3 linked regions of the Canis lupus familiaris genome follow. The protein of the gene in region 1 purifies or fractionates together with the protein of each later gene. This does not show direct contact. Links are inferred from orthologs where the notes say so. Each region holds a gene or a part of one and is shown in the gene's direction. Other genes may lie near its edges.

Evidence for each region. Proteins that work in one complex are often made in the same cells at the same time.
Region 2: the proteins of SLC39A4 (region 1) and LEMD2 purify together in Homo sapiens (affinity purification with mass spectrometry; 3 studies listed by BioGRID and IntAct, counting the BioPlex papers as one, with this or other methods). This does not show direct contact. The link is inferred for Canis lupus familiaris from reciprocal best matches to the Homo sapiens genes SLC39A4 and LEMD2.
Region 3: the proteins of SLC39A4 (region 1) and alpha-1,3-mannosyl-glycoprotein 2-beta-N-acetylglucosaminyltransferase purify together in Homo sapiens (affinity purification with mass spectrometry; 3 studies listed by BioGRID and IntAct, with this or other methods). This does not show direct contact. The link is inferred for Canis lupus familiaris from reciprocal best matches to the Homo sapiens genes SLC39A4 and MGAT1.

Annotation. Positions count from the first base shown.
Region 1 is NC_049234.1:38,584,071-38,586,870, reverse strand, and holds the end of SLC39A4 (zinc transporter ZIP4), read left to right. Parts: coding exon 1-5; intron 6-85; coding exon 86-208; intron 209-365; coding exon 366-420; intron 421-508; coding exon 509-661; intron 662-806; coding exon 807-994; intron 995-1,099; coding exon 1,100-1,228; 3' UTR 1,229-2,288; downstream 2,289-2,800. UniProt on the Homo sapiens protein: Selective transporter that mediates the uptake of Zn(2+). Plays an essential role for dietary zinc uptake from small intestine. The Zn(2+) uniporter activity is regulated by zinc availability.
Region 2 is NC_049233.1:3,299,620-3,303,323, reverse strand, and holds part of LEMD2 (LEM domain-containing protein 2), read left to right. Parts: intron 1-2,321; coding exon 2,322-2,398; intron 2,399-3,376; coding exon 3,377-3,456; intron 3,457-3,704. UniProt on the Homo sapiens protein: Nuclear lamina-associated inner nuclear membrane protein that is involved in nuclear structure organization, maintenance of nuclear envelope (NE) integrity and NE reformation after mitosis.
Region 3 is NC_049232.1:297,910-300,575, reverse strand, and holds part of alpha-1,3-mannosyl-glycoprotein 2-beta-N-acetylglucosaminyltransferase, read left to right. Parts: intron 1-1,895; 5' UTR 1,896-2,018; coding exon 2,019-2,666. UniProt on the Homo sapiens protein: Initiates complex N-linked carbohydrate formation. Essential for the conversion of high-mannose to hybrid and complex N-glycans.

The DNA of each region.
Region 1 (2,800 bases):
CAGAGGTCAGGTGGGGGCTGGACGTGGCGGGTGGAGGAGACAGAGGCGTGGGGGCCTGCTGGGCCCTGACCCACTGTCCCCACAGGACTCAAAGGATGGGCCCTGCAGCCACAGCCATGGTGGCCACAGCCATGGGGTGTCCCTGCAGCTGGCGCCCAGCGAGCTCCGGCCACCTAAGCAGCCCCACGAGGGCTCCCGCGCAGACCTGGTGAGCTGGCCCTTCCCCGACGTCCCCATGCCACAGGGAGCTCCTCCCCCAAGGGCCCCGGACCTGCCCCGCCACCGCCCCGGGGCCTCCGATGCTGTTCGGGGGACCCAGCCCATGCGCCCCTCCTCACCTCCCGGCCCACCTGACCACCCCGCAGGTGGCGGAGGAGAGCCCGGAGCTGCTGAGCGCGGAGCCCCGGAGACTGAGCCCAGGTGAGTCCCGAGGAAAGCCCCAGAAGGGTCGGGGGGCCGGCGCGGGCGGGGGGCCGGGCGGGCGCGCACCCACGTCCACCGCCCGCAGAGCTCCGGCTGCTGCCCTACGTGATCACACTGGGCGACGCGCTGCACAACTTCGCCGACGGGCTGGCCGTGGGCGCCGCCTTCGCGTCCTCCTGGAAGACCGGGCTGGCCACGTCGCTGGCCGTGTTCTGCCACGAGCTGCCACACGAGCTAGGTCCGCGGCGCTGGGCCCCCTGGCGGGGCGGGGCGGGGCCTGCGGGGGGCCGGGCCTCCCGGGCGGTGGGCCGGGCCATGAGCGGGGGGGCTGCCGCGGGGCGGGGCGCCCCGGCCTGACCCCGCCCCCGCCCCTCCCGCCCCAGGGGACTTCGCGGCCCTGCTGCACGCGGGGCTGTCGGTGCGCCGGGCGTTGCTGCTGAACTTGGCCTCGGCGCTGACTGCCTTCGCCGGCCTCTACGTGGCGCTCGCTGTCGACGTCGGCGAGGACAGCGAGGCCTGGATCCTGGCGGTGGCCACCGGCCTCTTCCTCTACGTGGCGCTCTGCGACATGGTCAGGGTGGAGGGCGGGAGTCGGCCGCCCAGGGGTGAGCTGAGCAGGGTGAGCCGGGGCCCGGAGCTGGCCCCTGACCACAGCCTCCCTCTCCCTCTCCCTCAGCTCCCGGCCATGCTGCACGTGCGGGACCGGCGGCCCTGGCTCCTCTTCCTGCTGCACAACATGGGCCTGCTGGGCGGCTGGACCGTCCTGCTGCTGCTGTCGCTGTATGAGGACAACATCACCCTCTGATGGCCCCCGCCCCACTCTCCGGCCCTTGATGCTGCCTGCTGACCCTGGCCTATCTCAGCCCCTTGCCCCGACCTGCCAGTGCGGGGCCTGCCCCTGGGTGCACCCGCCCCGCCTCCGCCTCCTGCTTCAATAAAGACATTCTTGTCCTTGGAGCCCAGCTGCTCTACGTGCTGTTAGGGAAGTGTCTCCCACCAGGAGAGGCAGACAGGTGGGGCTCTGACCAGGAACCTGCTGGCAGCCCGCCCCAGTCCCCCTCTGCAAGGTGCAGTGGGGTCAGAGAAATTGGCGGGGGTCTGCAGGTAGCAGGTGAGGCCTGGTCTCCAATCAGGAATCAAACTTGTTGACTCATAGCAAAAAGACCAAAACAACCCGCTATGCTCGCCTAGAAAGAGGTCGAGAGGCCCCTGGGTGGCTCCGTCTGTGAAGCGTCTGCCTTGGGCTCAGTCACGATCCCAGGGTCCTGAGATCGAGTCTCAGGTGGAGGTCAGGCTCCCCGGTCCATGGAGGATCCTGCTTCTCCCTCTCCCAGTGCCTTTGCTGGTCTTCTGCTGGTGCCCACTCTCTCTGTCAAATGAGTAAATAAAATCTTTAAAAAAAAAAGATAGAGGCCTAGAGCTGGTCAGGCTAGAGTGTGTGGCCCATGGTCCGCGGGGCCTGGGCCTCTTCTGCTCTGAGGTCTGTGCCAGAACTGTTCATCCTCCAAGTCCCCTTGTAGCCCCCCAGGCTGTAGCACAGCCCACCACAAACTGTGAGCCTTAAAAACGACATTTTCTCACCATTCTGAAGGCAGAAGTCTAAAATCAAGGTGTCGGTAAGCTGTGTTCCTTCTTGGCTCCATAGGAAGAATTTGTCACATGAGACTTTACTGGTTTCTGGTGGGCCCAAGTGTTCCGTGTCTGGGGCAGGATGAGTCCAGTGTCCTCTGTTTTATGACCTCTCCTCGTGTGTCTCTTCTCTTCTCCTATGGGATTACCAGCTCACCCTACTCCAGTGTATCCTTGTCTTAACTAATTCTATCTGTAATGACACTATTTCCAAATAAAAGTCACATTCTGAGGTACTGTTGGTAGGTTTCCATATCTTTTGGGGGGACCCATTTTTTTTTTAAGATTTTATTTATTTTTCAGGAGAGACAGAGAGAGAGAGAGGCAGAGACACAGGCAGAAGGAGAAGCAGGCTCCCTGCGGGGATCTGGATGCGGGACTCGATCCCAGAACCCTGGGATCATGACCTGAGCCGAAGGCAGATGGTCAACCACTGAGTCACCCAGGTGTCCCTGGGAGGACACAATTCAATCTAGAACACCTCTTATGGTCCAAAATGGCTGCCAGAGCTCCAGCCATTAAATGCACTGTCCGGATAGCAGAAAGGAGGTAGGTAGAAGGAAAGATCAAAAGAGAAAGGGGTCCAGGGGATATCAGATTCAGCCTGTCATTTACCCAACACACAGACACAAAAGCGGGAGAGTGGATGGAAGTCAGTGTCCTGTTACGCTCTACGCGTCCACTTGTGCTGGAGAGAGGTGGGTGCTGCTCGCCACCCACCCGGGGCAAACTGGGCAGGAGGGGCCGA
Region 2 (3,704 bases), on another chromosome or scaffold:
GCCATAGCTCTGCCACCACCTTCCCCTGACTGGCAGGAGACTAGTGGCGGTCAGGAAGGCATCTGTGAGCTCGGAGGAGGAGCAGTAGGCATGGGAGCTCACAGCATCACAGGCCCCAGGGGCCTTTCTGCATGGCCTGGGTCCTTGGACTATAAATTCTGGCCCTTTATTTTTTTCAAGATTTTATTTATTTATTCATGAGAGACACACACAGAGAGAGAGAGAGAGGCAGAGACACAAGGCAGAGTGAGAAGCAGGCTCCATGCAGGGAGCCCGATGTGGGCCTCGATCCCAGGTCTCCAGGATCACCCCCTGGGCTGAAGGCAGGCACTAAACCGCCGAGCCACCCAGGCTGCCCAAATTCTGGCCCTTTAAGAGAGTGTTCCAGACCTTAGTAACTCAGTTGTGGTCCAGGGACAAGCAGCATTAGGATCACCCCAGAACCTATTGGAAATCCAGAATCTGAGGACCCATTCCAAACCTATGAATCAAAGTCTGCATTTTTGAAAAGCCCTAGGGTATAAAGTAGGGAAGCTCTGTCTTAAACCAGAGATGCTGGTAGACATTTCTCCTCCATCCTGCCCTCCATTTGTGGTCCTGGCTTATGCCATCAGGGGGCCTAGTGCCTCCTGTCCTCTGACAAGCCTGGCCAACGGCAAGCCTGAGGGTCTCACTGCAGGGGAATGAGGGCTCTGCTAGGCCATACTCTGCCCAACCCCAACCCCACCTGGGAGGTCACCTATGGGCGGGGCATTGTGCTTCCCTTGCAGCCCACAGGGTGCTTATGATCTAGTAGAAGGGACAGGCCACCTACCTCCCTGACCAATGGCTGTTAAAAGGTGTGATTAGATGAGAACCGAGAGGCCAGAAGTTCCAGTAGGCATGTTACCTTTCAGCTGGAGCAGTCAGGAAAGCATCACAGGGGAGGTGGTGTCTGTGCCAGACCCTGAAGCCCAAGGAGGATTGATTCTGTATATGTGGGGGGCAGGGCAGAGCCAAGAGGCGGGAAATGACAGAGTCAGGGATGGAAGCTCTTGGCTTCATAGGGGAAGGAATGGAGTTTGGAAAGGTTGGTTGGGCCCCACCATGGATGGCCATAGATGTCAGGCCACCAGGGCTTTGATCACTGCAGGCGGTGAATGCCAAGGAGGCTTTTGAGCAGCAGAGTGATATGTTGAGAGCCAGGAGCTAGGAAGGCAAGGGTGACGGCAGCTTGAGTGTAGTAGTGCGATTTAAGCAGAATCATTTTAAACTTTTGTTGATCAAACGTTGATGAGAAAGGAGAGAGGACGAAACTAATCAGGAGACCATGGCTGTGGTCCAGGCCAGCTTAAGCGGGGCAGGGCATTCTGGGGCCTGTCGGGAAAAGCCAGCTTGATCTCAGGGGTCCCATAAGGGCAAGCTCAACTTGGCACAGGAGGGATAACCTTTAGTTTGGTCTCAAGATTTTTAAAGTTCATTCTCAGCCACTCCCTCCCCAGACCCCAGGCTGCGCCAGGTTAAGAGCAGTGAGGCTCTGTGTGGGTTAAGGATCTTGTACATGCCCCCAGCCTGTGCTGTGCCTGCTCTCAAGGCATCTAGTGACCCACAGGAAGCAGAACAATGGTGGGTGGACCATAGTGGGCTGTTGAGAGCCACTGGCTGTGGCAGGCCCCCAAGTCCAGAGTGATTTGGTCCGACAAGATTTCCCCATGGGCTCGGGAGTTTTCAGAGGAGGTGGCCCTGGGTGGGCCTAAGGGGAGGCTCCCAGCTTCATCCTAGGTGGGACCTAATCAGAAGGGGGTGGCCCCTTGGGGCACCACACTGAGGCCCCACTGCCCAGCACAGGGATGCCCTCTTTCTCTGTGGGGCATTTTGGCCTTCCCTCCCCAGAACCCCTCAAAACAGTGGGCCTGGAGTTCCTAGCCCCCGGCCTGTGCCGTGGCCAGAATCCTGCAGTGCCTGCAGCCGCCCTGCCTTTCTTTTTTTTGCCCAGGTCGCGTTTATTTATAGTGCCATTCTGGTACCTTCCAAAGCTACCTGTCTGATCCTCTTAGGGATCAATTGAGAACAGACCTTAGGATTGGGTAGCTTTTTAGTCATTTAATGCAAATCACTGCACTCCTTTGCAGGTCAGGTTTTAATGATCTGGAATCGATCCAAGCCAAGTGGGTTTTGATCTTGGTGCAGACTGAGGATGCCTCACCAGAGTCATGGGGCCACATGCTCCCCCTTAAAGCTGATGGCTTGATTCTTGCTGCATTTTTTTTTTTTTTTAGCCCATTTCAGAGTATTTTTTTCCCCACCTCTTCCTTTTGTTTGAATGTGTTTTTTCCTCCTAGGTAATTTTGAATGTGGAAATCCAGAGAAGCTAAAAAGCAAATGCATCCCTGTAGTGGAAGCCCAGGAATACCTAGCAGTAAGTAGGCTGCAGCGCTCACCCACTCCCAGGAGGTCCTGGTGCTTTTGTTCTGATCTTTCAGACCCTGCCTTTTTTTTCCGTTTCCATTTTGTGTTTGCTTTTTGGCTATTTTTGTTTTCCCTTTTTTGTTGTTTCTTTCTTTTCTTTTCTTTTCTTTTCTTTTCTTTTCTTTTCTTTTCTTTCTTTCCTTTTCTTTTCTTCTTTCTTTCTTTCTTTTCTTTCTTTTCTTTCTTTTCTTTCTTTTCTTTCTTTCTAACTTAGTTGAGTGTTAGGCTACTTTCAGTTTAGGCAGCAGGAGAGGTGCCTGGTCCCAGCTGAGCTGTGAGCCGGAGCCCTGCCTGCCACAGGTGGGTGGGGGTCTCCTGAGCAGCTGGTATGGCCACTGCAGGCCGCCTCTTCTTGAAGCAGCCCCATTACTTACCCCCCGCTTTTCTCCCCTTCCCAGCAGCTTTACAGACCTACATTTCACCTGTCCATTCTCTCCTTTATGTTCACTGTGTAGATTGCTCGGGGTCTGTGTGGCCGTTGGCCTGGCCCCAGTTTGACAGAATTCTAGAACCTTAGAGCCAGCAGAAACCTAGGGGTCCCCTAGCCTATTTTCATTTCCCAGATGAGGAGACTGAGGCCCAGAGAGGGGCAGGGACTGGCCCCTGGGGCCCCCAGCCCCACACGTGTTTTTATTTTCCCCAAGATGAGCTGCTAGCCCTTGACGCTTTGGTACTTGAGAAAATTGTTTTTGGCTACCTCAGACCTGCATCACTTTCTTGTGTGCTCCCACCTCGACTCCTCCTGGTAGAGCCCCTTCTTGGCTCTCATCAACCCACATTTCCACCTTCCACTTTGTCGTGCATTTAGCGGAATGGGGCTCTGGGGCCCGCTGGAGGACACGGGAGAGGTCTTCCCTAATCCAGCAGGAGAACAATGTTCTAGCTGGTCTGCCCAGCCACAGCACTAATCTCCCGCCCCCTCCCACAGAATGTGACCGGCAACTCCCCTGCCAAGTTTGAAGCTGCGCTGACCTGGATACTGAGCAGTAACAAGGATGTGGGCATCTGGTGAGTGTGGGCGAGGCATCACAGGGTGGGGGCACTACCATGGGCACCTGCGGCCACGGTCAGCTCACAGAGGTGTCTGAAGGTAGAGCCAGGTCTCCCTGCCAAGTCCTTGTGGGCTAAGCCTACAGCCAGGCAACAGAAGGAAAAGGTGGTCAGGGTGCAGCGGAAGGAGCCACTTCACGATAAGACACAAAATCCAGGTTAGCCTAGTTTTCTACCTACACCTTTGAGTTTCAAGTAACTCACTC
Region 3 (2,666 bases), on another chromosome or scaffold:
CTCTACTGAGAGGAATGGCCTTACATCTTTGTTAAGAAGAGCATGTGAGGTGAATATGTGGTGATCATCTTTGGATGATCAGAACTTGTTTTCCACTTGAAACTTTTAAAAGAAGGACAACTGTTTGAATTTTTGCATCTGATGAGTAAGAAATTTTATCTTAGTATAGTTTAATTTGCATTTTTCTTACTATAAGTGAAATTGAGTATCTTTTCATGTACCCAAGGACCAATTCAGTATCTTTTTGTGAATTGCCCTGGTCTAACTAAAGATAAGGAGTTTTGGCTTTTTACCCCCTCAGTTTAAAAGTTTTTTGTCAGACTATTGGCTTTTTATTTGTGATATATATTGCAAATATTCTCTCCCAGTTTGTCTTTCAACTTGGCCAATTGTGTTTATATCGTGCAAGTGTTTTACTTATTACTGCATCTAGATTTTGAATCAAACTTAGCCTTTTTTTGTATGCAGGTTATAGAGGAATTGATGTGTATTTTCTTCTAGCACTTGTATAGTTAGATTTTTTATATTTAGAACTCTAATCCACTTGGGAGTTATTCTGTACAGTTATATAATTTTGTTTTTCCAAATAGCTGTATAGTTGTTATAACAACTAATAGACCATTTTTTTTGCCTTAGTAATTTTAAATATCACCTGTATCTTCTATTGGGTTTCTACACATATTTGGGTCTGTTTTTGTAGTTTAAATTGTATTCCTTTGGATCTATTTATTTACCTACTAGCATCACATCGTTTTAATTATAGAAGCTTTGTAATGTGTAGTATTTTAATGGTTGGTAGGCTAATGAGCAAAACCTTGCTCATGTAGGTTTTGAATATTCCTTGTTAAGTTTATTCTTACATAGTTTATAATTTTTATGGCTGTTGTAAATAGGGTTTTCTCAAGCATTGTGACTTCTAATGAGTTATTTTTTGTGTATAGGAAGGCTACTGATTTGTGCCTGTTAGTTTTATATCCTGCTACTATGCTCAATTCTTCAGTTGTTTGGGTTTATCATTGATTCTATCAGTTTCCCAGGCATATTCTTACAGTATCAACAAATAGATAGTCATGCTTCTTTTTCCACTTCTGTAGTCCATTCACATTGGCTGATCCCTCCAAGAGAATGTTAAATTGTCATATAGATGGTGGGCAGCTTGGCTTTGCCCCTGACTTTTGTGGGAATGCCGCTAGTGCTTCCTTATTAGATAAGGTCTGACTTTAGCCTAGAGGTGTGATATTAAGAGTTTTTATTTTTATTTTTTTAAAGATTTTATTTATTTATTTGAGAGAGCGAAAGCGTGGGCCTGTGAGCTAGGGGCAGAGGGAGAGAAATTGGAGCAGGCTCCCTGCTGAGCCTGGAGCCCCTCTGGGGCTTGATCTCACCACCCTGAGATCAAGACCTGAGCTGGTACCAAGAGTCCTATGCTTAACTGACTGAGCTTCCCAGGCACCCCTAATATTAGGGTTTTAAAATCAGTAATCTGTGAGCAATTTGATTTGAGGAATGGGAGGCAGAAAGACTCACCTCCATCCTTGCCCCTAAAACTCTGCAGAGAAGTTGAAACTGAAGTCTTTCACGTATGGGAGGAAAAGTAGGGTTCTGTTGCTTCCTCCTTGACAACATCACGCTTTATTTCTCACTCAAACCATATTGCTTTTCTGAGGCTCATGGACTCATTTTGGAGTGGGGGAAGTGTGTTGTCCTATCCTCTTTATCCCAGATTAAGAGATGGGCAGCTCATTTCTAAGAGAGCTCTGGAGTCAACCTCTTGGCCTCCCACTTGCCCTACTGTTTCTCCTATTCTTGGATGCCCCTTCAGGCCCCATTCCTCCACCCCCAGGAGAGCTGCATGCCTTTGTGATGAAGGTTGGTTTTGTTTGTCTTCTCCTCAGGTGCATGGCTGCTTCCTGTTTCCAAAGGCCAGAGAAAGCATCCCTAGGGCTGTGGAAGTAAACTAGGCAAGCAAAGGGCAGCCTCGAGCCCCACCCTTGCTGCCCTCCCCTGTGGGGGCCAGGATGCTGAAGAAGCAATCTGCTGGGCTTGTGCTGTGGGGCGCCATCCTCTTTGTGGCCTGGAATGCCCTGCTGCTCCTTTTCTTCTGGACGCGCCCGTCACCCAGCAGGCTGCCCTCAGACAGCGCTCTCGATGATGACCCCGCCAGCCTCACCCGGGAGGTGATCCGTCTAGCCGAGGATGCAGAGGTGGAGTTGGAGCGCCAGAGAGGGCTGTTGCAGCAGATCAGGGAGCATCATGCTCGGTGGAGCCAGCGGTGGAGGGTGCCCACTGCTGCTCCACCTGCCCCACCGCGTGTGCCTGTGTCCTCCCCACCAGCTGTGATCCCCATCCTGGTCATCGCCTGTGACCGCAGCACTGTCCGGCGCTGCCTGGACAAGCTGCTGCATTACCGGCCCTCAGCCGAACACTTCCCCATAATTGTCAGTCAGGACTGCGGGCATGAGGAAACGGCCCAGGTCATCGCCTCCTACGGCAGTGCCATCACGCACATCCGGCAGCCAGACCTGAGTAGCATCACGGTGCCCCCAGACCACCGCAAGTTCCAGGGCTACTACAAGATTGCGCGGCACTACCGCTGGGCGCTGGGCCAGGTCTTCCACAAGTTTAAGTTCCCAGCAGCGGTGGTGGTGGAGGACGACCTGGAGGTG